Linked DNA regions of Pelodiscus sinensis. The protein of the gene in region 3 purifies or fractionates together with the protein of the main gene of each other region. This does not show direct contact. Links are inferred from orthologs where the notes say so. Each region holds a gene or a part of one and is shown on either strand. Other genes may lie near its edges. The genes, in order: tubulin alpha-1A chain, DNAJA1, LRRK2 and RPL23.

Region 1 (7,246 bases), on a different chromosome or scaffold from region 3:
TTATTTCTTGGGGGGGGGGGGGGGGGGGGAAGAGAGAAGAGTTCTTACTTTCTTCCCATCCTAGACATTTTCCCCCTCTTAGAATCCAAATTCTGTTCTATTAATCTGGGCCCACTCCATCATTCTTAGAGGAGTTTCATCAGTGTAAATCCAGTGCAATTGGAAGCAATGTAATAATTTATCTCTTAAAACATTTCTTGTCTGTATTCACTGTCTGGTATTCTTATCCCAAGATTGCTCTGAGTAACTACTCTATTCCAAAGGAGTTTTAACTTCACCTTGGGACCACCTACAAATATGGTGGCAATAAAAACATTAACAATATGATTATCTGGAATTGGAAATGGGGGAAAATCCATCAGCAGTGAATTTACATTCTTCAATCAGCTTTCTATTCACAACCTGCCCAGATTATGCTAAAAGGAGATGGTATCTACCAGCTTGCGGATTCTGTCGAGAACCAGGTCGATTATCTCCTTGCCAATGGTGTAGTGCCCACGGGCATAGTTGTTGGCAGCATCTTCCTTGCCAGTAATGAGCTGCTCAGGGTGGAAGAGTTGGCGGTAGGTTCCAGTGCGCACTTCATCTGGGGAGAGGAAAGGCAGAGAGTCGGTCTCTCCCCACTGTCCATGCACAGTAGCTGTCTGCACATGGGCTTACAAGGGGAGTCCAGAAAGCAGTTAGATGATGGCTTTGCATACTCACCTATCACGGTTGGTTCCAAGTCCACAAAGACAGCCCTGGGCACGTGCTTGCCGGCGCCTGTCTCGCTGAAGAAGGTGTTGAAGGAGTCATCTCCTCCACCGATGGTCTTGTCACTGGGCATCTGGCCATCAGGCTGGATCCCATGTTCCAGGCAGTAGAGCTCCCAGCAGGCATTGCCGATCTGGACACCAGCCTGGCCGACGTGGATAGAGATGCACTCACGCTGTGGAGAAGAGAATGGGAGGCAGGGAAGAGATGTGAACACATTGGCCTGGTCTGCAATTGCATGTTAATAAGTAGCAATGGAGGTATCTCTAGAAGATCCCTTTGACACTCCCATGTTTGCCTTTTTTGGCTCTTCAGTGCTTATAACTGTAGCAGCAGTATCAGGGGTTAAGCTTTAGAGAGGGGCATGCTCTGAAGAGTCAGCAGCACAGTCACACAGATGCTAACTCTTTGTTTAACACCACATGGTCTAACCACCATATGCTCTCAAAATAGGGGGGCAAAGGAAGAGTACAGAGAGAAGAAAATACTTGTTAACCCAGACAGGTAGGAGGTAACTGGAAACCCTTTTGCAGCATCACACTTCTTGAAATGTGCCCACCTGCCACGCCCTTTTTTTATCTGTAGGGCCTGATTCTTCTCCCAGAGAACTGGCAAAACTGATTTGGATAGAGGATTGGGATGGGACTTCTCATGAATAAGAATCCCAGTCTACAAAACAAGGCAAGCCAGACTTCCACCCCCCACAACTCTGGTGCCTCATGGAGAAATTGGCCCCATTGTGGATGCTGAATCCTTTCCCAGCAGGTGCTCAGCAGTTGGTAAGTTCACCCTCCAAACTACTGATTTGCTTTCTGTGCCCCCAGTACCTGGCCCTCCCTCCCACATGCCAATGGCTCTTCCCCAGCCAGGAAGGCTAGCCTAGGGAATAATGAATGGAGCTACCACACCCAGCCTGGGAACAGGCTCATTTGGTGCAACTGAGAGACCATTAACTATCCTCTGCCCCATGCCTGCCGGAGTCTGTGCGGACAGCCCTGGCTTAGCACTGGCTGGTCTATTTCCAGCATGATCTCATTAGACTGGTTTGCCAATTCCCCTCCGCTGACCTCATCTGGGAACAGACCCGCCTAGGAGCGGAGACAATCAATGGATCAGCCAGAACAAAAGTCCAAGCTAACTCACATGCCAAGCAAGCCAGCATCTGCGGGAAGGGGCTGGCTGCCATTCCCCAGCCCCGACGCTCCGCCTTTAGTGCGCAGAGAGCGGGGAGTTGCGAACTCGACCATCGCCCTGGGGATGCTGCCGAGGCGCTAAAATGCAGCCCTCGTGCACCGAGCCCAGCGATACAAGGACTAGGGATATGCGGGTCGCCTACACGGCACGTTTCCCTCCCAAGCCCCATCCAGGCAGCTGCCTCCTGCGCCCCAGAACCATCAGTGTGGACCCAAGCGCCTGAGGCCCCCTCCCCCTTTGTCTGCTGGGTCAGGGCCCCCTCCCCTGCGCTAGCTAGTGGGGGGGGTTGAGTGGGGAGCAGAGGCGTGGTCAGTGCAGCCCAGCCCGATGCTGAAATGGGACCTCGGTGGGAAACCAGCCCCTGGCTCAGCTGCTCTGTGGGCAGGGGGCCGGGCAGCCCGCCCTCCTCTGGGACGCCAGGGCGTGGCCCTCCATCCCCCGCTAGCCCGGGCAGCCACGGCTGCTCTGCTGGGAAGGATTTTGCAGCCGGGACCCGGCGGTTTGGCACGTCCCCCTCCCGCAGTCCAGCTGGTGCCTCCGCCCAAAGGGGGAACGGGGGAAGGCGGAGCAGAGCCGCCGGCTGCGATCCGGCCAGCGAGGCGGGGAGATTGGGAGCTTTTGAAAAGCGCCTGCATTTGCCCTGCCCTGCAGCCAGCGGGGGGACAGCCGCGCCCCCCGGGAGCCCTGCAGCCAGCGGGGGGACAGCCGCGCCCCCCGGGAGCCCTGCAGCCAGCGGGGGGACAGCCGCGCCCCCCGGGAGCCCTGCAGCCAGCGGGGGGGACAGCCGCGCCCCCCCGGGAGCCCTGCAGCCAGCGGGGGGGACAGCCGCGCCCCCCCCCGCACTCCCTTAGCGCCCCATTTCCTCTCTGCTCTACCGCGCCCCCCGTGGCGTGCAGCCCCGCACGCGCCCCTTACCATGCTGGCTGCGGGCGGGGCGCTGGCCGCTTTCTTACCGCGCGACTCTTAGGGGATCGCTGTAAGAGAACTTAGGGTGTGCGCGCCGGCCCGCCTCCTTTATACCCTTCGGTCACCATGGCGACGGGCCTGGGCTGCCAGCCATTGGTCCGCCTCGACCGTTTCCGCCCGGCGATTGGTGCGGAGCGCTCAGGATGAGGTCATGGCCCCGCCCCCCAGCTTGCAGACAAAGAGCGGGCGGGGCGGGCGGCTTTGCAGCAGCTAGATGCTGCAGTCAGCCCCGATCCGGAGCGTGCGTGAACCCCCTCCCCCGCCTCCAGGTTCGCGCCGCATTGTGTGGGGAAAGCTGGGGCGACACCGGAAGGGAAGAGCCTTTAGTTGGGGCCCCCGATGAGCCAAGAGCGTGTGGGGATCAAGTACATGGTCATCCAGCCCCCTCCTCCCCGAGGGCTAAGTTTAGGGTCGGGTGAGGCAGGTTCGGGGCTCCTGACTGGTACCACATGGAATTGGGCTGTCAGGGATCTCCCACCCCCGAGGAGATAGTCTAGGGTCAGTCCTGCTCTCTGCCAGGTGGGGTGCTCCCATGCAAGTGACTTCCAGCCCCTGCTCCCTGTGTCGTCGTCCCCCGAAATACCCACGGGATCCCGCACTCACCTCGCCCCCCAGCAGCAGGGAAGAGCCTGGCTGGGACTGGGGGGGCTGCCACCCCACCGACTTGAGTCAGTGCTTCCTATCAGTTCCAGGGTTTGCACTTTGGTTCAAGGGTTCTTAGCAGCCTCTAGGTCTGGGGAGGTTCCTGACCTGGGCTACAGCTGGTCTGGCAGCTGTGCTTGTAGGGAGCACTTGGCATCTTGGCCATGGGAGAATTATACAGGGGAGGGTCGGGTGGGGGCATAGGGTTGCAAGTACCAGATCACCCTTCCAGTCATGCATCCCCATCTTCAGAGAACCGCCCACGGCCCACCCCATGGAGCTGGCTGTTCCCACCCCACAGGGTTGTGATGGGAAGTGTCTGTCCCTAGGCTGGTGTGTAGTGAGTGTCATGGCTGGTCCAACTTACAGCAACCGTGAGCTGAGAGTTAGAGCCCCGACCTCACCTTCAGGGCATGCAGGAGTGTGCTGCCAGAGCTTGGCCAGCACAGCTGCTGGGCTCCAAATAATGTCCATCATATACAAGGTTTGCAGTTCTGTTCAATGGCTCCCAGCCTCCTCCCCTCCCGCCCCACACACACTGTACAAATTGTTCCACTACACCCGATTGCAAAGGGGAGGCTAGCACAGGGAGGTGTCTCTCATCCCCAATTTCCCCCTTTTCCACAGGGCGAGCTCAGATCCTCTTTTCCAGGGCCGGAGGTGCCTTTCTAGCTCCATTTCTGCAGAGCTGGCAACTGAGGCGAGGGGGTGGGGAGGGGACAGGCAGCAGCTGCTGCAGGTGGAGCTGTGAGACTGGCTGCTTTGTTGCAGACTGGTGAGCAACATTTTCAATCCCCCTCACAAGAAATCACGATTTTCTACACATTTCCCATATTCTGCAGCCTGCTCTGGGTTCCTGCTCCCATGCTTCTACTAGTTTGACACATTTCTCTCTAACAGGCAGGAAAAGTAGCCCCAGCCCCCTGGCTATTTTTTTGCACTAACATCCCTGTGAATATTGGCCCCCTGTGGCATGACAGCACATACAGACTGTATCTGGAGTTGCTCCTGAATCATAAAAGGACAAAGGACCTACATTCCCCAGGGAACTGATGAGGTACAAAGAGACTCCAGGATTCCATAGGCACAGCTGAACAAAGGAACTTCTGGGGCATTCTGAAGAACAGATGGTCAAATCCTCAGCTGGTGAAAATGAACTTCAGTGGTACCTCACTGATTTACACCAGTGGAGGATGCTGCTCAAAGAAGAGGTGGATAGCTAGCATTGCAATTTGGCCATGTTCAGACCTGAGTTTTTTTCGTCAAGTTCCTGTCTACCCACAGAGACCTGTAAATTTCTAACCACATTGTAGCGAAACAAATAGAAACAACAGCCTGTGATCCTGCCCTGGACTCTGGCCTGTGCACTACATAGAGAGCCATCTAGTTATACTCCAGGACACAGCAAAATGCTACATTTACCTTTACATGTACAGCAGCTTAGAGTACAACATGCTGCTTACTGGATATATATACCTCTTCCAGGGAGAGGGAGAGGGGGAGGAGGAGAGCTCAGGAAATTCAATTTCCTGTGGAGACCTGTCAAGTTCTCAGGGTCATTTTACTCTAGTTTGTAAATGGGCTTTGCAGTGCATTAGTGACCGGAAGATCCCGAGCTGAAACTCAATCATCCATTTGAACACTCACCAAAATCAGTTACATGTTTATGGGCTGGTGCACAGGAAATGCTGCTGGCCTTTTTTTCCTCCCTGACTTCCTTCTTTTCACTCTAATCTATGGCCTTACCTACACCAGGGACCAGACTCTCAGCTGGTCCCAATTCACACCTTTCAAGAATTTGCCCTGGTTCCATCCGTGAAAATAGCAGCTTCCTCTAGGATTTTGCACTGGGACAGCTACACCTACTGTAACCTACCTTTGTGAGCCAGAGAGGTGCCCAGTGGATGTATTTAGGGAGGGAGTATTGTTCAGTGGTTAAGGCACAAAACTAAGAATCAAGAGACTTAGGATCTCCAGGGCAAGTTCATGAGCCCTACTGTACCTCAGTTTCTCTTTCTGCACAATGGTGGATAATAGAAAGCTGGTGAGGTTTAATTCCTTAATGTTTGCAAAATGCTTTAAGAGCCTGGAGTGGAAGGAGTTTGATATGGGCACAGTACTGTGGTCCCTGACCATCCTCAGGCCCAGCACAGAGGCAGAACTTGCCTAAGTGAATGCTAGCCTTGAAATGCACAAGGAAGCAGACTTGGCCTTCACAGCAGCAGCTCCTCCTCCCCTCTTTCCCCCACCCCAGCCCATCTGGTTTCACAGGAGCTTGCGCAGCACAACACTGCTTAGCCCTGCTTAAGATGAGGGCAGGGTAGAGCACAGCGACTGGATATAGAAGCCGGGGAGGGTCAGGCGGGGGTTAACAAGGGTGTTGATCCTGGCTCCATGCTGGCTGGGCAGGTTGCAGACAGCCGGCTCTTAGATCCTTTTATAGAAAGCCTTGCTGTCCACCCCGTCTCAGGCATGCCAGGCTGTGCCCTGCTGCTTTTTCCAGCTGTGCTGTGTGTCTCCTGAGGGGTGTGTGGAGCATGAAGCATCTCTTTGGGTGCATGGGGACACCTCCCACTATATTGATGGGAGAGGACACTGTTCTTCTTTCCACACATTCAGGGCCTTCCCCACAAGATCAATCCCTGTGCCAGCCTCATGCAAGGAGCTGGCATGGCTTCATTCCCATGGCAGCTTAGGGGGCGCTGTGTTGCTGCTGATAACGCCAGCCTTCAGGAGAGAGCTAGAGCAGAGATCTGGGCAATCAGGACTCCTTGGTTCCTTTCCAGGCTCTAGGAGGAAGAAAAAACTGGGACTCCTGGGTTCTGTCCTTTGCCCTGCTCTGTGACCTTGTGTGAGTCACCAAATCACCGTGTGCCTCAGTTTCCCCACCTGTAACATGTGGGCTGTGTCTAGACTGGCAAGTTTTTCTGCAAAAGCAGCTGATTTTGTGGAAAAACTTGCCAGCTCCCGTTTGGGCAAAAGTCCTTTTGCGCAAAGCTTTTGCGCAAAAGGGCCAGTGTAGACAGCTCAGATTTGTTTTGCGCAAAAAAGCGTCTAGATTGGCCACGGATGCTTTTGCGCAAAAGTGTACATGCCAATCTAGATGCTCTTTCCGCAAATGCTTTTAACGGAAAACTTTTCTGTTAAAAGCATTTGCGGAAAATCATGCCAGTCTAGACGTAGCCGAGGGTTGTACCGCTCATTCCTCTTCCAGGGGAGCTGTGAGGCAATTCACGAAAGTCTGTGAAGAGTCTTTAGATCCTGGGTGGAAGGTCTTAGGGCAGGGCAGAGGGTTGTTATTAAAGCAAGAGGCAATGGCTCTGCCAATGCAGCAGAGGGATCAATGAACTATCCCCTGGGCGCTGTGGAATAAAATCAATGGCTCCATCTCAAGGACACAGGCGCCTCAGAGGTGCTTGCTCTCTAATTAGGTTTGTAAGACAGAGCCCTGCTCACCCGCTGCTAGGCAACGAGTTGTTCAGTTGCTAGGAGACAGAACAGGAATCCCTGGTGGCATTTGGTCTTCCTTTATCACCTTGCAAGTCATATGACTGAGCCCCAGGAGAAGCTGGCCTGGGAAGGGGAGAGGGAGGAGAGAGGCTGGGGAGAGATGAGGATAGAAAAAGCCTGGAAGACAGAGAGACAGCTGGGGAAACAGGGAGGGGGGCCCCATGAGAAAGCAATTGTCCCC
Region 2 (7,392 bases), on a different chromosome or scaffold from region 3:
GGGGACAGGGTGCCAGTGGGGACAGAATTCTGTAGCTGGGGATGGGAATGGGGACAGAGTTTTGTAGCTGGGGACAGGGGAGTAGGGTCTGGGGAGCACAGACAGGAGACAGGGTGCCAGTGGCAGCAGAGTCCCCTCCATCTGCCTCCTCCCAGGATTCCCCCCCCCCCCCCCCCCCCCCCGCAGAGGGAAGCCAGCACATTCCTCCTCCAGGCCTGACTCCCGCACCCCCTGCGGCACAGGGAAACCCCACGCGTGCCTGCCCTGGGGCCAAACCCCCTCTCCCACGGTGCGGCCAAACCCTGTGGGCGCCTTCCCCGGGGCCAAGCCGCCTCTCTTGCAGCGGGGCCAAACCCCCACGGGTGCCTCCCCAGGCCAAACCCCGGGGCCAATCCGCACAGGGAAATCCCTACGCTCAAGTCACTCCCTTTTCTGGAATCTCTCCTGTCTCCCATGTTTTTCCAAAGGTGATAGCTAGAGGGTCAGATACCGCCTCTATCAGCTCTTTGAGTATTCTACGATACATTTCATCAGGCCCTGATGTATCTCTAAAATGAGCAGTCATGGGCTGAAGTGGGTTTTGTTCACGAAAGCGCATGATAGACTAGCATATATATCTATACAGTGATTCCTCATTTAACACTATAGATATGTTTCAAAAAATGATGGTGTTAAGTGAAAATGTGTTATGTGGGGTCAATTTTCCCATTGAAAATAATGGAAAAGGTGGGGGTTGCGGTTCAAGCAGTGGTGTCTGTTGGGTCCGGGATATAAGGTTGGGGAGAAAGGGGACTGGGTTACAGCAGGGAGGGGGAGGTGTTTGGCTCTGGGGAAGAGGAGAGGAGAAGGGGACTGGGTTGGAAGTATGCCCCTGTGCTGGGTCTGCTGGGACGTGCACTGCAGTGCGGGGGGGAGGGGGGTGCCGGGGAATGGCACAGTAAGCTGCGAACCCTCTGCCACTTTGCAAGGAGGCGGGGGAAGCCCTGCGCAGCCACCAGTGATAGGCCAGCTGGGGAAACCCCTAACTGCCAGCCTGCAAGCAGCGCGGGGGGGGAGGGGGGGGGGCGCAAGGCGTCCAGCGAGGGGTAGTCAGCGGGAATGGCGCAGCGAGCAGTGAACCCTCCTCCGCTTTGCAGGAAGATGGGGAAGCCCTGCGCAGCCACTGGCAACAGGCCGGCTGGGGAAATAGTGTTATTCTGGGAACGGTCATGTACTTCAAAAATGTTCCCAAAATTGTGCTATCGCAAAAATGTGTTAAGCGGACACACATTAAGTGAGGAATTACTATAGTAAGGACTACTTTTTATTAAAGTTAGATTGTAACATGCCTATCCCACAGAGACTGATTAACATACCTTCACATTTATCACAGATCACATTCTTTTGCAGAGCCAGTTTTCTTGTTGCACCATTGTACAAGTCTTCCAAAGATACTGACAACTGATGAACAACATTTTTACCTGTAAAGAGAATATGGTCTTATTTTAAAATAGTAATTAACTTAGAATTACAATATGTCAATCCTTTTCAGTGACTAATTAAGCAAAGCTTAGTACTAAGGTCTTTGCTTAAAGATACTGCAAACTTTTTTCCAATATTTGAGAGCCCGGCTCATTACCATCTGCAAAGAGGGCACAAAAATCAAACCTTAACCCTATGCCTGGTTATAGAATATTAACTAAAACAGCTTTTTATTTAAAAACTTAATCTCCTCTATGCTAGCATTTAAAACATTGGTTTTAGAACAGTGCCTTTTTAGATATTGTTTTATCATTGTAATGATCATTTTAGACACTGCTACATAGCATGAAAAGCCTTATTTGTAAAAAGGTGCAGCTTAAACACATAAGTATCTATAGCCTTATACTAGGTACTACAGGATGTGTGACTAACAAGAAAATACTTCAGCAGCAAAGAGTCCCTTAGGCAGTACCAGAGAAAGTGAAATTACCTCTGCGCTCTCTCTGCATTCTTCCACCTCCTCCAAAGAACATATCAAAAATATCCATGGGTGACCCAAAACTGCTGCCAGTACCACCCTCTTTAATAGCCTGCTCACCACCTTTGTCATACAAGTCTCTCTTCTTTGGATCAGAAAGCACTTCGTATGCTTGCGAGATCTGCTTGAACTGCAAGAAACACCAGAGTAAGTGCTGGGCGTGGGGACGAGGTAGCCCCGGGCCAGTGCCCGGCGAGCCCGGCCCCACTTGCCTTCTCGCCCTCGTTGGGGTTCTTGTCGGGGTGGTACTTGAGCGCCAGCTTGCGATAGGCCTTCTTCAGCTCCTCCTGCGTGGCGCCCGGCTTCACCCCCAGCACGTCGTAGTACGTCGTCTCCTTCACCATGGCGCCGGCCTGCGGGAGCCCGCCGTCAGCCAACACCGGCCGCCCCTCGGGCCCGGGCTGGGGGAACGGGGGCAGCGGCCGGCGGGGGGGGGGGGGCGAGGCAGCGAGACCGGGGGGGAGGGGGGCGGGAGAGGGGCAGAGGCAGCGAGACGGGGGGGGGGGAGGGGCAGCGGCCGGCGCGGGGGGGGGGGCGGGAGAGGGGCAGCGAGACTGGGGGGGGGGCAGGGGAGCAGCGACCGGCGCGGGGGGAGGGGGGCGGGAGAGGGGCAGAGGCAGCGAGACGGGGGGGAGGGGGCAGCGACCGGCGCGGGGGGAGGGGGCACCGAGACCGGGGGGGAGCGGAGGGGGGCAGCGGCAGCGCGGGGGGGGGGCGGGAGAGGGGCAGAGGCAGCGAGACCGGGGGAGAGGGGGGGTAGCGGCCGGCGGGGGGCAGCGAGACCGGGGGGGGAGGGGCAGCGGCCGGCGCGGGGGGGGGGGGGGAGAAAAGGCGGCAGCGGGGGCCGGCCCCACTCACCGGGCAGGGCTTGGCGAGCTCCGGGCTTCTCAGCTGCTTCGGCCGCTCGAGACCCTTCTGGAAAGTTCTCTATGAGCCGGTCGCTCCTTCCGGGGACTTTTGTAGCCGCAGAAGCTCCACCCCGGAAGTCCCGCCCCCTCGGTTTCCCGGCCGAATCAAGGATGGGGACGGGCCAGGCGGAGGAGAGCCAATCTTTGGCTTGGCTCCCGGGACTACAACCCCCAGCATGCCGTGCGAGCCCCAAGCTGTGCGCGTGCAGTGGAGCGCTGGGTGTAGGGGCGGGACACAGCGGGACGCGCCCCAGCAGCCGGTGTCGGGCGGGGTTGTGAGTGGCACGCGGCGGAGCGCGCGCCAGGGCCTGTTTCCTGTGAACACTCCCAGCCCGCAGGCAGCGCGCGCGGCAAGGCGAGGGCGTATCACGTGACCCCCTCCCCCCCGCCCGCTGCTGCTGGCTCTGCCCGCCCTCCAGCGAGGGACGGGGCTTCCGAAAGCGCCTGCGCACAACTTCTGGGATGCGCCGTGGCCCGGATCTGATTGGTGGGGCGGACGCAGGCGTGTGACGCTGGCAGCGAGACGGTGACTGGCCCTGCCCGCGGGGCGCCGAGGGGGGGGCAGTGCCGGGGGTGAGGGGGGCAGGCGAGGGAGGGGGGGCAGTGCCGGGGGTGAGGGGGGCAGGCGAGGGAGGGAGGGGGGGCAGTGCCGGGGGTGAGGGGGGCAGGTGAGGGAGGGAGGGGGGGCAGTGCCGGGGGTGAGGGGGGCAGGCGAGGGAGGGAGGGAGGGGGGCAGGCGAGGGGGGGCAGTGCCGGGGGTGAGGGGGGCAGGCGAGGGAGGGAGGGAGGGAGGGGGGCAGGCGAGGGGGGGCAGTGCCGGGGGTGAGGGGGGCAGGCGAGGGAGGGAGGGAGGGGAGCAGGCGAGGGGGGGCAGTGCCGGGGGTGAGGGGGGCAGGCGAGGGAGGGAGGGAGGGGGGGCAGTGCCGGGGGTGAGGGGGGCAGGCGAGGGAGGGAGGGGGGCAGGTGAGGGGGGCAGGCGAGGGAGGGAGGGGGGCAGGTGAGGGGGGGCAGTGCCGGGGGTGAGGGGGGCAGGCGAGGGAGGGAGGGGGGCAGGTGAGGGGGGCAGGCGAGGGAGGGAGGGGGGCAGGTGAGGGGGGGCAGTGCCGGGGGTGAGGGGGGCAGGCGAGGGAGGGAGGGGGGCAGGTGAGGGGGGCAGGCGAGGGAGGGGGGGCAGGTGAAGGAGAGGGGGGGCAGTGCCGCGGGTGAGGGGGGCAGTTGAGGGAGGGGGGGCAGGTGAGGGAGAGGGGGGCAGTGCCAGAGCGAGGGGTGCAGGTGAGGGAGAGAAGGGGGTGGGGATGAGGGGGCCAGGCGAGGGAGAGGAGGGGCGGGGGTGAGAGGAGCAGGTGAGGGCGGGGCAGTGCCGGGGGTGAGGGGGGCAGGCGAGGGAGAGTAGGGGGCGGGCAGTGCCGGGGGTGAGGGGAGCAGGCGAGGGAGGGGGCGGGGGTGAGGGGGGCAGGTGAGGGAGAGGAGGGGGCGGGCAGGCAGTGTCGGGGCGAGGGGTGAAGAAACTTGCATTAATTGTATCCTTTGGTATATATGGTTGTGACTATTTTCTTCCACTATTTGATCTGAGGAAGTGGGTCTGGCCCACAAAAGCTCATCACCTATTGAACCATCTTGTTAGTCTTTCAAGTGCTACATAGTCCTGCATTTTGCTTCAGCTACCCCAGACTAACACGGCTACATTTCTATTACCATTCTAATTAAGGCCTTCATTGTATGGGTCAACTCTGTCACTTTCTTTGGCATAGTTATAAGTTATATAGTCTAGGTTAAACTGAAAAGGAACACGTTTCAGTCAGAACACATTGGAAGTGCCCAGGCAAAAGTTTGCACCAATTTCACTGAATCACTAAGTCTGCTTTAAAAAATGTTTCTTACATTGGTAAGCTATAACAGTTTAAGTTATGGTGTGAATTTAAACTGGCATAGTTATCCTTTTATAACTTCTCCTGTTGACACTAGGGATGTAAACTCACGGTTAATCAGTTAAACCTTAGGTTTTACCAGTTAACTCATTAACTTGGATCCACTAGTAGTCCTAAGCACAGGGGAACTGACTTCTGCTTTTACTGCGCCTTCCCAAATGGAGCGGCTGGCTCTTCCTCCCTCCTTCTCTCTGTACAGCGGTGCCAGCTGTGAGAAGGCGGCTGCTCCCTGGTACTGGTTCATCAGTATGCATCATGCAGCAAGGGTGATGCTTACCAGGTAACTGGTTAACTGGCCACCTGTCACATCCCTAGATTGCACAGACTCATTCTAGCATAAGGATGGGTTTTGTCAGTTTAGCTTAATGTCATAAATTAAGCCAGTAAAGGTGTAAATGTCCCCCTGGAAGGTTTTACTGGTAAAACTAAAAGTATAACTTGGAAGCAGCCATGCTGCTGCTGTCTCGTGTTGTGTGGCAGAGAACAAAATTAACATTACGGATGTTAGTGGGTAGTCATCTACATGAATAACCGATAGGCCTGGGCTTATCGGTTAATCTTAACAACTACATACTTCCCCCTCCCCTTGCTATCTCTGTATCAGAGGCAGCAAAAAGTGGGAGAGGTGGGAAATGGTGCCTATTGGGGCATATCAGCTGCTGCTGAGCTCCCTGCTCCTGCCCGTGCTGCTGCCTCCCACAGAGCAAGCAGGAGCTGGTATGTGGGGAGATCCAGCTTTTAAGACAGCTCTGTGCGCATGCCTGCTCTGCAGTGGCAGAGGCAGCAGTGTGGGGGTAGGGGAGCAGGCTGGAGCCGGTATGTATGGGAATCCAGATCTCCACACATCTTGGCTCCTGAGCAGATGGGAGCCGATGCATGCAGAGAACCAGCTTTGACGCCAGCTCCCTTCGCATATTGGTTCCTGTCAAGCGGCTCCCCTCTCTCTCTTCCCCCCCATCCCTATAACAGAGGCAGCAGGAGGGAGGGAACAGGAGCTGGCACTTGCAATGAGTGAGCTGAAAAGCCAGCTCCCCACGAGCACCACCTCCCTCTTCCTCCCAAACTTGAAAAAAATTCTGCTGAAAATTTCAGCGGATACACATTTACACAAATAAATGCATTTTAATATCCCTAAGTAACATACACAATAGCCCAGTGCACCATATAGCTGTGTTTTTACTGCTGAAATAAATGGTGTTCTATAGGAATCAGTACTAGGACCAATCCCATTGCATACTTTTGTCATTGTTCTGCCAATAAATGTAAAATCACTGCTAGTAACATATGAAGATGACACCAATATTGGCAAAGTAGTAAATGATGCTAAGGCTAGGTTTTTCATACAGAAACATCTGGACCATTGGATAAGCTGTGTCCATTAAAACAAAACATTTAATGCAGCCAAATGTGACGGTATACATCTAGGAACAAAAAATATAGGCTATCCCTGTAGAATGGTGTACTATATCCTAGAAGGCAATTTTTCTGAAAAGGAGGTAGGGGTTATGGTGGACAAGTGATATATAGTGTAGTAAAATCCTACTGAATAAAACTTGCTATTGGAACTTACAGAAGTGGCCACAGTGGCAAATCTAAAAATGAATGTGATGTGTCTATAAAAACAATATATATAGGCAGCCTAATGTTGTATCAGCTGATTGGAGAAATATGGGTATCGCTCAACATGATAAACAAATATGTACTGAATAATGTAAACTTGGTGTGTATAATAGTAAATATTTTGCATTTCAGCATCTTTCTGTGGGAGATGCTATCAAACCACTACATAGATAATTAAATAAGGCCTTGAAATATCTCTTATTAGTACCATTTTGTAGAGAAGGATAATAAGTCACAGCAACGTTAAGCAAATTAGCCAACGTCATGCAGCCAATTAGTGGACTGGCAATAGAAACAAGAACTTCTGATGCCCAATCCTGTAGTCAGCCACGGGATCTTGATCCCTATCTGATTGTAATCCTGTCTATGTCCTCTTATTTATTTCACAGTGCAATCATGCGGGTGTGCTGGCTAGTGAGGAAAGATAAATGCTGTCAGCGAATCAAATTGCCACACTTAGAAACAACAGTAATAGGGCGTGGCCCAGAGACCGAAATAACAGACAAGAAATGTTCAAGGCAACAGGGTAAGTAATAGCTTCAGTGTACACACAACTGCTAGTTTGAAAACAGCTAAGTAGTTAAAAAACTAGGGCTGACAATTAATGGCAATTGACTTGTGACTAACTCAAAAATCATGATAAAATGCAGTTTTAATCCCACTGCTAAACAATAGAACGCCAATAGAAATTTATTAAATAGTTTTGACGTTTTTCTGTGTTTTCAAATATATTGACTTCAGTCACAGCAAAAATAGTGTAAAATGCTCACTTTATATTACTTTGGTTTACAAATATTTGCACTATAAAAATAGTATTTTTCAATGCACATTGATGTACCGCAGTTCTTGTAATCTCTATAGCATGAAAGGGCAATTTACAAATGGAGATTTTTGTTGTTGTTGTTACATAACAGTACTCAAAAACAAAACAGCGAAA
Region 3 (6,860 bases):
CATTGTGTGGCAAGCTCAGCCAGAAGGAAATATATTAATCAATCCAGACACCGCCCTTACTTCAACTTATTTCAAAACATTGGTCAATTTCACTTTTGTGCTACAAATTAGAAAGAGCTACTGCTCTATTAACCTGTGCAATGAAAAACAGTTGTTTTGGTTACACCTTTACAGCATGCCTACACTAACAGGGGATCTACACACAGCATCTACAGTCCTTGCCACAAACTCAGATTCAAGACTCCCACAAGTGAATCACAATGGATGAAGCAGGGAAGATAGAGTATAGTTAGTGTAGAATATTTTTAAATTTGTTATAGCATTAGGGAATAGAGGAAAGGATGGTTGCAGCACTTCGTGACATTAAGTTTTTGAGTTGCATCTGGCTAAGTCCTTGGTTAAAACAATATTAAAGAGCTATAAAAAGTCTAAAGTAAACTCTCGAAGGCTAAGAAATTCAGATAAGAGGCTGAAACTTCATTTTAAAACCATTTTTAAGAGTACACTAAAAGATATTACCCTTGCATCCTAGCCAAATTGCAGTTCAGGTATAGTTACCACTTTCTTCTTTATCAGGTTTTAAAAATTTCCCATACAGTTGCAGTTTGAAGTACTTTTACTTACTATTCTTGACTTCTGTGCCATTCTGCTATTGCTAAACAACTGATAGGTTCAACCCAATTTAAAAGCAATGGCTATACAAATTTTTTACCTATGTGATAATTGAATAGTGAATTATGAATTAAAGTTTCAGATTCCTCACATTACCTGGTTATCCTCTAATAAAAGATATAATAATAGTGCAAAAAATTACTTTCATTGTTATTATTAATGTAACAACTATACATGACAGGTAAAAATCAAGAATACAATTTACTGCTTACTCTGAATTTGTGTATCTGTTAATGTAGACCATTCCCATTATTTAAAATAGATATGGGGGGAATTACATTTTGCAGCCGAACAAACTGAACTTTTAAAAGGTGAAAAAAATGTAAATCATACATTTATTTTTAGAAAATACAAACCAGTCTTACAGAGATCATATTTCTCCATATATATATATACACAAAAGTTTTTTCTGCTGCATGTGACAGAATTATGTCATCAGGCTCTCTGGAGAGAGGAGGGTTGGTGAGTGTAGTGAGCAGGGCATAGCCTCCTAGATGTCTTTAAACATCTTTTGGGGATAACATGCATTTTATTTTACATGATTGACTGCTAGGAAGGATCTCTGTCTGAAAACAAATGTGAAAATGACATTGGAAAGCACCTGCAATATTTAATATAAAATGAGTCAGCCTTAAATAACAGAGGTAACCAAACAGAATAAACTACAGAACTTTCCCTGCTTTGTTTCTGAAGTTGTCCTGAGCATGACAGTGGGTATAAAAGACAGATGTTACTTCCTTAACACATCCTGCTCCATTTAGAAACAATATTGGATTATCACAATGTTTGTAGTGCATGACATCATATGTGATCTGTGCAATATAGTTCGTATGTAATTTATGAACATACTTTGCTTTATTTTGATTTAGAGCTTAGGAAAAGAGACAAAATTATTCTTTTTAGCAAACAGCTGACAAAAAACTTTAGCCATCCTTTACAATGTAAATACTACATACAGCATTTTTTTTAAAAATCATTAATATTCTAGAGCCGTGGTCCAGGACTGTGGTATACTATATTAGGAACATTAGCAGTGCGTCTAGACTGGCAAGCACTTTTTGCGCAAAAGCATCCTTACTAGACAGGCTTTTGTAGAAATACTTTTAACAGAAAAACTTTTAACGTATAATGTAACAGTAGTAACTATTATAATCTGTTTTCCAACATGTACTTTGATACAGAAGAAATCACAACACAAATAACTGAATTCCACAGATTAATAATACCCCATTTACTATTTTATTTATTTTTAATGCACATCTCTCTTTAACATGGTTATTTACTGGAACACCTGATGGTAACTATACAGAACTGCTGACTTTTGGGCCCTGGAGCTATAGTTTTGTATTTCTCATCTCACAGTAATACTGTCACCCTATGTCATCTCCGCGGTGACAATATGGTCAGCAACAGCATTTTCAAGGAGACTATTCCTGTGCACCACTGTCTAGCGGTCTTCACACCTGCCTGTCTGGCACAAGACGCCCGTGTCTGTTGTTACTAGCTGGCCAGGAGCGGAGACTTGACCGAGCTGGACAGTCCCAAACCTCGAGGAAGTTTCCATGTGGCTCATTAAAAACCAGCGCCAGCCGCCAAGTTGGGCTCTGAATCCAAACTGCCCGCCAAGTTGCGGGGAGCTCGGGGCTGGCTCGCCAAGGGGCGGTGTCAGGCTCTGGGTCTGCCAGCTAGGGGTGAGGGGTTTACCTGCTGCACCGCGGCCACGCGCAAGTGGGAGTCCAACACCAGCAACAAGGGCACGTGGAGGTTCCGGCCAGCGAAGAGCTTGGGGGCTGAGGAGAGAGGAAAGAGCCGGTTACTCGCGGGGCCGAGCCGGGGAGCCGTAGCGGGGCCCGCCCGCCCGGGCAGGAACCTCACCGCGGGGCCGGTGGGCCAAGGCCAGCAAGTCCTCCAGCGTCTGCAGCACGCTCTGCAGCTGCGTCCCCTCCTGCACGTTCGTCAGGCGAACGACCAGTTTCCCCAGGGCGGCTTCCTCCCTCTCCTCCTCCTCCTCCTCCGGCTCCTGCTGCTCCTCCCGGCAGCGGCTTCCACTGGCCATGTCCGAGCCCCGCCTCATCTCAGCGAGTGTGCTGGGAGCGCTCCCCGGCTGCCGCCGCCATGTCGATCCCGCGGGCCGCGGCTCAGCCCCGCCGCCGGAGTCATCGGACTATTTTTAAGCCGCATCCCCGCCCCTTCACCTCAGCGCTGACAACATCTGCGGCGAGTGTCCGCAGGCCCGGCCCAGCTCGAGGGGAAGGGGCCGCAGCGCCGCCCGGTTGCCCGTAGAGGGCGCTCCCGCTACACAGTCTCGCGTTGCAATCCCAGCAGGATTCGGTGGGGAGGGGGCGTTAGGGTAGCATCAACCAATCAGTTACAGCCACTGACAGCCCCGCCCTCCAATCGCATGGGAGCTCTGGAGAGGCCCGCCCCTTCCTGCCTCTCTCGGTCTCATAAGGGGGCGGCGAGCCACGTAGCGCTTCTGACGCGTTCTTGTTGGTCGCGAGGGTGGCTGGCCAAGGCATAGCTAGCTAGCTGTGGTGGCCCCTTTTGGGGCCCTTACGAATGGGGCAAAAGGGTCTCATGGGGTACGAACAGGGGAGTCACTGCGGGTGGCTGGGGTGGGCCCCAGAAGGGGCCTGGCTGAGCAAGAAGGTGCTGTGCTCCAGGCTCGCCATGTGTCTCAGGAAGGGCTACAGTTGATTTTCCAGCTGTCCCCCAGATGGGAGGGTCCCAGGCATGTTAGGCTGCCTCAGAGCCTGGGTTGGGTGCTGTGATTACTGGTCAGAGCATAGCTGTTGCGGACACCCCATCCTTCCTCTTGGCTGCTGCTACTATGAAGTTAGAACATGCACCTCCTAGGCTAGGCCTTTGAACTTCTCAGTACTTGTCTCAGTACCAGTACAGTCAGCTGTCCTTTGCAGGCAAGAGGCTCCAAATCATAGGGTTGCCAGGTGTCTGGTTTTGAACTGAACAGTCCTGTTTGGGAAACAAATTGAGAAAATATAAATATGGTCGTTTCTAAATAAGATGTAATGTAGCTTGTGATGTCACGTCAAGTGTGTCCAATATTTTTGTTGAAACCATTTGGCAAGCCTATTAAGCAATTAGCTAAGTCCATCTCCAGAATGAGGGGACTTTCAAAAAAAAGCGCCTCCTTTTGAGTAAAGGAGCAACTCTGCTAATGAACTCTAGCTATCATCTATTATTTATATGACAGAGGCTTAAGAAGCATTGAATTTACTGCAAATTTCTGAAGTATAAAATAAAATAAGATCTAGAGTCCCTCATCTCACCCAGGAGTGGCCCGAGGCCAGCTGTAGCAGCTAGCGCCCCAGGCAGAAGGCGCAATTGGTGCCCCTGCCTGCATAGCGGTCAATGTCTGTGATGTAATCACAGGGCGCCCCATGACATCATCATCGGGCGCCTGGGCCAGCGGCGCTCTAGGCAACTGCCTAGTCTGACTAGGCTCATGGGCCACCCCTGATCTCACCACGTTTGAAATTATTTTGAAGTGGGATAGCTGTCTCTCATTTTCATGCCACACATGCTTCTATTATATACAATTATTTGAAATTAATTTAGCCACACCATTAGTGGATTCAGGAAGGGAAACAGTGATAATGTGATTTAAAATTTATAAACTTCAAGTTCTTGTGATTGTTCTTTTGTAATAAATACACAACTAGAAAATACAGGAGTTTCAGTGTACTAACCAACTTGTTAGTGTATCTGTCTTTAAATTCATCAATGTGTCTGTCACATCTCCAGAATAGTTGTAAAAGGTGCCACATGAAAAATAATCATCTACAAATGGGGCTTGCAACAGTATGTTAATGAAAGTATTGCTAATTTTTACTCTTAATCTTTTAGGCTGCATCTAGACTGGCAAGATTTTGTGCAAAAGCAGCCACTTTCTCTTTGCTGCTTTTGCAAAAACAAACCTGTACTGTCACCAGTTTTGTTTTTCACCTTTTTAAGTGCTTCAAGCCTGATACTACAAATCACATTTTTAGTAACTAAATTGTAACCAATACAAAATTCTTCTGACTAAAGGAAGAGAAATTGAATACTTTTAGGCTACGTCTACACTGGCAGCTTGCGGAAGAACTCTTTTGCGGAAGAGTTCTTCTGCAAAAACTCTTCCGGAAGAGAGCATCTACGCTGGCATGTGCTTTTGCACAAGAGATGTGCTTTTGCGCAAGAGCATCCATGCCAGGGTAGACGCTCTCTTGCACAAGAAAGCTCTGATGGCCATTTTAACCATAGGGCTTTCTTGCACAAGAAATTCATGTTGCCTGTCTACACTGGCCTCTTGCACAAGAACAGTTGCGCAAAAGGGCTTATTCCTGAGCGGGAGCGTCAGAGTTCTGGCACAAGAAGCCCTGATTTCATACATTAAAACGTCAGTTTACTTGCGCAAGAACACGTGGCCAGTATATACAGTAGCATGTTTTTGTGCAAGAGCTGCTGCTTTTGCACAAGATCATGCCAGTGTAGATACAGCTTAAGAGTAATTAAGTTTTTCTCTGTTAAACATGATGATTGCCTTACCGTTTTTGAAGGAGCAACTAGGATTGTGGAGTTATTGAAGCTCTCATGCTTACCTATACCCTGATGCCCTGGTTACTGAAAAGCATGCACAGTGCTTAATATAAAAACACATGAAGAAAACACCAACTTAATGCTTCTTTTTAAAATGTTTCATTTTTTATACACAAGCATTCTGAAACACCTACAAATCGTTGGTTACTGCAAATGCTTGTTGACTAAACTATCCTTGAACTATTAGTATCAACTTGATACTCAAAACATAGGGCAGTGCTATCTGAATCAAGCCATATTTTTAAGTGTTATACCAAGAAACTCTTATCTTGGTTTAATAATTATCAACCACAAAACCATGACTGCATTTGTGACATGAAGTTTTAGCTTGTTTCCCTTGAAAGGCAAAGCCCTAAAAAGACAACGTGTCAGTCTGATGAAACAGTGATTCAGATTTAGAAATTAGTTAAATGGTTTCTCACTTCTGCTAACTTTCCTAATGACAAAGTTGATTGATAAGAAATAGATCCATATCAGCAAATCTAATACAGTTTTCTTACTGCAGAATTAATAGTTCAAACACTCTTTTCAAGGAATGGTGATAGATGCATTGCAGTCTTGACCTTCAGACAGTTGTTGGCACCAGAAACTTCAGAGGAAAGTTTAAAATATGCTGTAAATTATATAGTCAGTAATTACACCTTTGGGAAGACTCTCTAATACCAACTATGGGTTTTTATATCTCCTCAAATGCTTATCTTAACTAGCATAAATTGCACATTTTTACTAATCCTGTTTACATAACTGGTTAATCCTAATTTGAATTCTGTTGTGGATGCTATGCCTTCCTTTTTGAAGAGTGATTACGGTGTAATGATATTTGTAATGGGGTGTTAATTTTCATGTGTGTGGCTGCCATAAATAAATTTTAACTCTTTTTGGGGGAAAAAAGTGTCCTCTCAATCAATGATATAATTACTAAATTGCATACTGAATTTTTGAGTTGAAAGTTAATGATTCATTATAATTGGTCATTTGGATCTTCATATCTTCATAATGTAATGTAACAGGTGGTCTGGGTGCACTGCTGAAAGGGTCAAATCAGGGCAAATTGCTTAGAATCAGGCTATTTACACCTTCCTCTATAACTACACTTTAGCTGTCAATCTGGACAGCAAGAAAAGTTACACAAACAATCCCTTTAGACATGCCAGCATTATCTGCGTCACAACCACTATGATACCTTACACATGTGAGCAGTTATGGAAACAGATCTCACCAGCTCTGAACAGGTTCTCCTGATTCTAAAGGACCAGACACAGGTCAATTTATACCTTAGCTCAAGGGTGGGGAGCCTAAGGCCCGGGGGCTGGATGTGGCCCTGCCTTGTCTGGATCTGACCTTTGAAGCTCAAGGCCCCTCCTCAGCATTGGGGAGCCTGTGCTGGCACTCCAGCCCCTACTGTCCCCCTGTGGGACCGGAGCACACAAACTCTACTAGCCGAGGCCCCCCTAGCTATGGTGTGCAAGGGGAATGTGGGGAGTGTCTTTCTCCTCCTTAGTTGGGGCCACATCAGTGATGATTTTGGTGGGTTTTTATGCTTCTCGCTTGTGTGTGGACCCCAACTGATTTTTCTGTGGGTCAGTGGC
Region 4 (7,809 bases), on a different chromosome or scaffold from region 3:
CAGCCGGTTCAGGCGGCCCTTAATCCCCTTCACGGAGATGATGTACAGGTTCTTGGCTCCTACAGGAGAAAAACATCCTGAATTAGCCAACTCACCACAGATGTCCTCAAACGGTTCACTGTCCCATCACTCATTGAAGTGAACAGCACATGCTGCTACCTCACCCAAAAGCGATGCCTTTCTTATGCCCTTCCACGACAACTCCCTGAGTCACTGAGCACAGACCCAGCAAGTGCTTTTCAGAAGGGGGAAGCTGCTACTGCTGCCTCAGAGGTAGGATGCAATTTTTTAGCACCATTGAGCAAGAAGTTGAAATTCTACAGAAGCAGGTTAATCGATACACAGACATTAAGGCCAGGATAAATCATCTTGATCAGCTAGTCTGATTCCTAGGGTAGTCCAGTAACTTGTGTCAAGCCCATAATTTCTCTTTGTCTTAAAGTAGGAGTGGGGAACCTTTTGGGTTGAGGTCACTGAGCCATAGAAAAATTAGTTGGGAGCCACACAAGCAAGGAGCAACACACATCCCTCCCCAATGTAGCCCCCAACTGAGAGTGAGAGTGAGAGGGAAAGGAGAGGAAAGAAGACATTCACCTCATTATCCTCAAGCTTAGGGGGACCAGGCTGAACAGATTTTGAACACCCCCCCCACCCCTGCGCTGATTTTGGGTGAGGACAAAAACAAGAGGTTCAGTGCATGGGAGGGAATGCTAGGGAGCTGGCTGGGGATGTTGGGTCTGGATAGGAGGTAGGGCATAGAAGTTTGAGGTGTGGGTGAAGCAGTAGGGGGTTGGGACACCTACCTGGTCCACTTCCAGGGAGGAAAGGGGCGGGGGGAGCCCCAAGCTTTGCGGATCGGATCAAGACAAACTGCAGGCTGAATGTGGCCTGCAGGTTCCCCATTACCGATTTAAAGCATCTCTCTCAGAGATAGACAGTCTTATTTAAAGACTCCAAATGATTGAGAGTCCACCTAGTTGTTTTATTATCATCACAGTTAAAACCTCTCTCTATTTCTAGTGCGAATTTGTCTAGCTTCAACTTCTAAGCCCTGATTTCTATTTGTCAGTTACCTATACAAACGCTAACCAGATACACAGACAAGGCAGAAGGGATGCTGAAGCAGAAGTGATACTGACTCCAGAAAGGAGCCACAGACTCACCTGTATTATCCGCACAGTTGATCACAGCTCCCACAGGAAGACCCAGGGAAATACGGAATTTCGCGCCGGACGAACCACCACGTCCTGTAGGTTAAAAAGAAAAGACATATTCTTTAAACATTGATTCACAAGCCAGTAAGACCATCCGGAATGGAATTTAACAGGTTTTCAAATTGAAATTTGTGATTTTTTTCCTATGCCAGGGATAATATGAATTATTTCCCTGGTTTATTTATACCATGATTTTATCTAAAGTTCTTTTTAAAAAGCGAATCACGTTTTTACTTACATGCTACCAGTTCTTTACTTTTTCTCCATTATAATATAAAGTGTGTGTTTTCTGGTTTTTCTCTTTACTTTCCTAACTGTTGATGAAATGTATGTGGAAATTACAGGGTTATTTTCCCCACTAAGTTTTACCCTTAAAACTGTTCATCACTACTAGCCTCATATTAACACCTTTACTATGAGAACACAAACCCAAACACAAAATTGCTAAGCAAATAACCAGTTCCATGTTTGTAACTTAAACCACGTTCTGATACATGGGACTCCAACAAGCCAAGTACGCTGAATATTCGACCACTTTACACTCCTCCAGCAGGAACTGAAGCTACTAAATCTATTAGGTGCTTCTGAAAATCCCAACTACAAGCACTTAAAGTTGCACCTAATTTGGGGCTATTAATTTTCACTTGGGTGTATTAAGAAAAACTCACAAAAGCTTTATTTACATACTGAAATTCCAAGTAATTATCCACCACTACCAATAATAATGGCAAAGATTTTACAGAAAGAGAAATGTTTAATGAAACTACAATCGTAGCCTCTGAGGCTGCAAATGCTTATTATGCATGCAAATAAAGCTACACACCTGTTCAAACATTTGCACCATCAGGACCCTCACAGTTGTTTTGAATTGCGGAGTGATTTAGTCAAATAAAATCCCCTTCCAGCAGGGTATTATTAAAGAGTGCAGAGACTGACCTTTCATTTGGTTATAAAAGTTTTAATTTAAACCTGCAGTAGCACAATTATCCAAGCAGTCTCAATCCCCATCTAAACCGGCCATATTTAAAAAAATGCCATTTAAAACACTCCGTTCAGACCACGGCATTTTAATCCGCCTCTCCCTGTTGCATACAGGCATCATACACATGGCTCAGCCCAAGGAAAGCGGCGCATCTCTCTGCTTTTTCCTTCTCGCTTACAGGGCTTGTTGCTCCTCTTGCATACAGAGGCACAAGGAGCAGTTTCCACCCATGAGACGATCCTTAAGAGTCCCCTCCCCCCCCCCCAAAAAAAACTGGGGTTGCACTCTGGGGCAGTTTATTTCGACCCTAATTTCTCATCCACGTGGGGCTTAGCACCCCCCCTTCTAAGCTAAGCCTCACCCTGAAAGTCCCCCCAACCCGTCTACGGACACTCCAATGCCCCCTCCCTGTCCACCAACCCCCAATACCTAAGACGCCCCCCTTCTGCACAGCCTCAAACCACCCCCTCTCCCCGGGACCCGCCAGTCCCCGTCCCCAGCGGGCCTAGCCCCCACTGTTTCCCTCCGCCAGACCCGGTCCTGAAGGGAGCCCGGGCTCCCCCTGTTCCATCCCCCCGGGTCCGGGAGCCGCGCGGCCCCCGTGACCCGAGGATGGGGACGGATACTCCCCGCCCCCCTCCCCGAGCGGGAACCGCTCTCGCTAGGCCTCACCTCGCTTGGACATCTTGGGGCCGAGGAAAAAAAAAAAGAGAAAGGGAGCCGCACGGGATGCCGGGATATTAGTCCGCGCAGGGCGACAGCCTGCTACGTCACACCAAGGCGCGCGGAGGCGGCGACCTGCCTCAGCACGTGACGGGTTACGCGCTATTCCCTCATCACGTGATAAAGAACGGCTGGCTGGTCTCTGCAGCCGTTGGTCGTCCCAGTGCACCACACTGCCACCTACGGGGGCAAATGGGGAACTGCAGCTGCTTTCTGTAAAGCGTCTGAGCGCAATCGCTTAGCAAAGCTCATGGGACATTTGCAAGGGCAGACCCCTTCCAGCCTGTGTTCCCTGTCATTTGTGCTCTTGGGCGGCCTCCCAGGAGAGATGCAGGTGCCGCCTAGCTGGTTAGCAGAGTGCCCACAGAAGGCAGCATGTGTTTCTTTTGGTGGTGCACATATGCACCTGCCTTGGTGCACATAACAAAATTTATTCCTCGCATGGATGGAAAAACATTAGAATAGAGAACATTGCTCATAGCATTGAATTTTGGCAAGGGCAGCTTGCTCTGGTATAAATTGCTTTGTGATGGGCAGGACCTCTGTTTTATTCCCATCCAAGCACCACTTAATCCAATGCCAAATAGTTCAGAGGTTGGCACTAACCCTATTGGTCTAACTCTGCAAATCAGCTTTATATCCACTGACCGTGTGTGTGGATTACAGATCAACTGTGGATACACATTTCGTATCTGTACCAGGCTCTGCCTACTCATCCCACGCTGGGCTACTTGTTTCAGCAATCTGTGTTGCTGGCCTGGTCAAGTGCAGACAGTCACATCTTACGACTGTGGTTCTCCTCTTGCAGGATGTGAGCTGGAAATTAACCGGAGCAGACTTAAATTAAAACCACTGCGGGAAAATAGAGTATGTGGCCAAAAATGGCAAATAATCACAGGGAAAATATAACACCTGTGGGAGCATCAGGACGGACAACTAGATACCATCAAGCTTACATCTATTGCCTGCAGAGCAACATGTCAACAGCTCAGACAAACAGATTTTTCCACAATGCAGAGTTCCATAGTGCAGGATCTGGATGAAATCTGACCCTAAATATCACATTACATTTATGATGATGGATTGTAAAGAAGCTTTTTTGGGAGGGGGGGTTCAGAATTCACTTTGCAATATTGACAGTTATCAAATAGATTTGTTTTCTCCTCCCTGCCCTGCCTCCTCCAGTCACATTTTCCCATTCAGGATCCCATTGAGTGAGCTAACAATGTGGAATGTGTGACCTCTCACACAGATCTAAGACAGCCAGTGTGGTCATACCAATGGGGACAGGTCCACACCGGTGCTGGAAATTACTGGAATGTCCAGTATTGTGGGAGTGCATGAGTGGCCACACTAGCAGGCAGCAATGTCATAAGCACAGAGATGTGACTTTGCTCTGGGTTCAAGTAATAATTCATTTCACGTCTATAGCACTTTTCATGCGCTGCATGAAGAAAAACTTCCTTTTGTTTGTTTTAAATCTATTGCCTATTAATTTTGATGGGTGTCCCCTAGTTCTTATGCTATGGGAATAAGTAAATAACTTTTCCTAATTCACTTTCTCCATACCTCCATATTCTCTAACCCAATGCAGGGCAGGCCCAAGCATAACACTGCAAAATGTCCCTCATGTAGGCCAATTCTTTCAGTCTTCCTTCACAGGTCATGCTTTCTGGACCTTCCATCATTTTTGTTGCTCTTCTCTAGACCCTCCCCAATTTCTCCACGTCTGTTCCGAAATGTGGTGCCCAGAACTGGACACAACACTCCACGCGATACTGGAAGGGTTTTAAGTGTCTTTATTAATAACGTGTGCAGGTGTTGAAGTAGTTGCTTTGCAAAGCCTCTGAATTCCTGGTTGTAACAGTCCCTTGTCCCCAGAGCTTTAAACTGTAAACCAGAGCAGTTTTGGGGGATGCGGGCTCTGGGAACAGGCAGGCTGGAGGTAGAGAGTGCCTGGATTATAGTGTGTCACTTCTGGGGAGGAGAACTGAGACAGGGAGTCTTTACCCAAGGAGCTGGAGAAGCCAAAGGGAGAGCAGTGTACGGCCCAGCAGCCTGATGAGTGTCCACCAGGGGAGCATGATAAAATCTGTGTATATGACCATATGTCATGGGTGGGGCACTTTTAGGGATGAAAGAGCCACTTGGAGCAGGGGGGGAGCATTGCCATGAGAGGATCATCGGGGGATCTGATTCCTGCCTCCCCTTGGCTGGCAGTCACATTGTGAAATCCTAAATGGAGCAAGGCCCATATTGCCCTGCAGATGTATCCAGCACCGGGTAGATTTGAAACTGGGACCTCTGAAGCTTAGTGTAGCAGTCACTACAGAGATAAAGCCAGCTGGCTTTCAGCTTAGGCCAGCGTTTCTTAAACTTTTTAAGACCGAGGAACATCAAACAATAATTTTTTTATGAGGAACAAAAAAAAAAAAAAAAAAAAGTCACCTGCCCCTTTAAGGGTGGCCATTTTGAACTCTGTTGTTCTCCGTGGCACACCTCCGACTGCCTCGCTGCACACCGGTGTGCCGCAGAACACAGTTTAAGAAACACTGACTTAGGCTGTAGCATTCCCTTGTTCTTATCTCTCACTCTAAGTGCCACTGCATGGTACAGTGAACCACACTAGGTCTACATTACAGAGTTTTGTTGGAAAAACAGCTATTTTTCTGACAAAACCTGAGAAACGTCCACACTGCAATCATGTTCTTTTGAAAGTAAATTGAAAGAACAGAGGAGTTTTTCTGGAGTTGGTAAACCTCTATGAAGAAGAAACCTTTTTAGCGAAAGAGCTCTTTCAAAAAAAGGTGTGTGTGGACGGGGAAGAGGGAGTTCTTTCGAAAGAAGAGGAAAGAGGAAAAAGCACAGGTGCCCTGGTGGCCATTCCGCCCATAGTAATCACAGCTTACATGCGAGACAGCGTCTACTCAGTGTGGACTCTATCTGTCGTAAAAACAGATCACTTTTTCGATGCACTTTTGCAGTTTGGATGCTCTCTTTCAGAAGTTTTTTCGGAAGATCTCTTCCAGAAAAGCTTCTTCCGAAAGAAACCTGCAGTCTAGACATAGCTAGTGTGTGGGTTACACAGACTCTGTCTTTGCCGCTGAAAAGGATGGGTTGGTTTTCACGGTGTGATTAAAAAACATGAGACTCCTAAGCAGAGAAAAGCTACTTGTTGCAATTACCATGAGGTAGCTAGGCAACGTCAGCAATTATCCTCTCTCGGGCAGTGGGGGAGGGGGTTCTCGCCTCATTTGATTAGTACAACGTTAGGGCAACGAGAAAGCTCCCCCATGCCCGCCTGTCTCTGGCAAGTCTTTCAATGGTTTCCTAGCTGTGCCCCAGGTTTTTCAGCTCTGCCTAGTTTACCTTGGAGTAAACCCAAACCCCTCTTGCCTCCTCTTTGGTTTTGTTTACAGCAAGCCACCAAATAGGCAGGTGCATTATCCCACAGTAGAAACATCCTTATTTGTCCGTAAGGACAGGCCCAGAAGAGAGACAAGCGGTTAAGCAGTGTCCCATGTGCACGGAGAGGGGCTGTTATTCAACACATTTCACAAGTTTAACCAGAAGGGGCTCTGCCAATTAGCCAGGATTCACAACAGTCATTCGTTTTTTTTTAAATTTTGAGTTTTTGGCTGCGACTTGCTAGATGCAGCAGATTTAGCCCATACCAATGGTTAGGCCAGCGGTCACCAACCAGTCGATCGGGATCTAGGGGTCGATCTGGGAGCCTCTCACAGGTGATCCTGATTGGTCTGGCCAAGAGGCTACCAAGTGCTGGCACGTCAGCTGCCCCTCCCCACAGGGCTGTGCTTTGCCTGGGAGCTGCCCCTCCCCTTGAAGAGCCTTCTGCTTTCTCTGCAGGGCAGGAGAGGGAGAGGAGGGCGCTGATGTCAAGGTGCCCCCCCCACACTTTGTAGCCCATCTCCACAGAGTAGAAAGGAGGCCCAACAGGACTTGGGATGGAGGTTGCTGACTGCTTTAGGGAGTGGGCCAGGGCAGAGGTGAGCCTGGCTTAGCCCCACTGCACCATCAACCAGGAGCCACCTGAAGTAAGCTGTGCGCCGCTGGAGCCCACATCCCACACTCCTACCCCAGTTACCTCCCTCCTGCACCCCAAGCCCCTACCCTAGCCCTGAGCATCCCTGCATCCAAACACTGTCCCAGAGCCTGTACCTAGACCCCCCCCCCGAACCTCAGTTGGCTGCCCCAGGCTTACCTCTGAGCCCCTCTCACATTCCAGATCCCTTAATCCAAGACCAGCCCTCTGCCTCAGACCAGGAGCGGCCCTAGACTGGCTGCCAGCAACTGGCGCCCTAGGGGAACCATGCAATCAGTGCCCTAGGCAAACCATGCAATCGGCGCCTCCACCTCCAAACCCCTCAACGATATTGCGCCACCATTTGGCGCCCCATTTAACTTGGCGCCCTAAGTGACCGCCTAGTTCGCCTATATGGACGGGCCGCCCCTGCCTCAGACTAGTGAAAGTGAGGGAGGATGGAGTGAGCAGGGGGCGGGGCTCACAGAAGGGGCACGAAGGAGGCGGGGCAAAGGTATATGGGTGTGACAGAGATCTTGGATTGCACTTAAATTCAAAAAAAGTGATCTCGTGCTTAAAAAGGTTGGAGACCACTGGATTAGGCCCAGAATATCACAATTCCTGGTTGGAAATTTTTTCCATGCACCCACCGCTGCTACACACACGCAACACATGCTCACACACGCACACACAAAAAGTCAAGGAGGGTCACACACGAGCTTCTAAAGAATCCTTGTGTGGTTGTCATAAGGGACTACCTTGTATGTGTACATTTCCCCCTTAAAATTATATTTCAGTCCTATTGATTTTGTGACTCTCAAAGCATGTTAGCCAAAACGTGAAAGACA

The links.
Region 1: the proteins of LRRK2 (region 3) and tubulin alpha-1A chain purify together in Homo sapiens (affinity purification with western blotting; 4 studies listed by BioGRID and IntAct, with this or other methods). This does not show direct contact. The link is inferred for Pelodiscus sinensis from reciprocal best matches to the Homo sapiens genes LRRK2 and TUBA1A.
Region 2: the proteins of LRRK2 (region 3) and DNAJA1 purify together in Homo sapiens (co-immunoprecipitation; 4 studies listed by BioGRID and IntAct, with this or other methods). This does not show direct contact. The link is inferred for Pelodiscus sinensis from reciprocal best matches to the Homo sapiens genes LRRK2 and DNAJA1.
Region 4: the proteins of LRRK2 (region 3) and RPL23 purify together in Homo sapiens (affinity purification with mass spectrometry; 3 studies listed by BioGRID and IntAct, with this or other methods). This does not show direct contact. The link is inferred for Pelodiscus sinensis from reciprocal best matches to the Homo sapiens genes LRRK2 and RPL23.

The regions. Positions count from the first base shown.
Region 1 is NC_134729.1:4,833,781-4,841,026, reverse strand, and holds the start of tubulin alpha-1A chain, read right to left. Parts: upstream 3,021-7,246; 5' UTR 2,866-3,020; coding exon 2,863-2,865; intron 929-2,862; coding exon 706-928; intron 587-705; coding exon 438-586; intron 1-437. UniProt on the Homo sapiens protein: Tubulin is the major constituent of microtubules, a cylinder consisting of laterally associated linear protofilaments composed of alpha- and beta-tubulin heterodimers.
Region 2 is NC_134716.1:17,266-24,657, reverse strand, and holds the start of DNAJA1 (dnaJ homolog subfamily A member 1), read right to left. Parts: upstream 3,011-7,392; 5' UTR 2,858-3,010; intron 2,353-2,857; 5' UTR 2,344-2,352; coding exon 2,212-2,343; intron 2,130-2,211; coding exon 1,952-2,129; intron 1,461-1,951; coding exon 1,356-1,460; intron 1-1,355. Other genes in the region: APTX (aprataxin), read left to right, coding at 4,994-5,115, 6,845-6,981.
Region 3 is NC_134711.1:27,626,843-27,633,702, forward strand, and holds the start of LRRK2 (leucine-rich repeat serine/threonine-protein kinase 2), read right to left. Parts: upstream 3,014-6,860; 5' UTR 2,747-3,013; coding exon 2,548-2,746; intron 2,463-2,547; coding exon 2,377-2,462; intron 1-2,376. UniProt on the Homo sapiens protein: Serine/threonine-protein kinase which phosphorylates a broad range of proteins involved in multiple processes such as neuronal plasticity, innate immunity, autophagy, and vesicle trafficking.
Region 4 is NC_134739.1:12,361,661-12,369,469, reverse strand, and holds the start of RPL23 (large ribosomal subunit protein uL14), read right to left. Parts: upstream 3,001-7,809; 5' UTR 2,882-3,000; coding exon 2,869-2,881; intron 1,248-2,868; coding exon 1,164-1,247; intron 250-1,163; exon of another isoform or gene 117-249; intron 60-116; coding exon 1-59.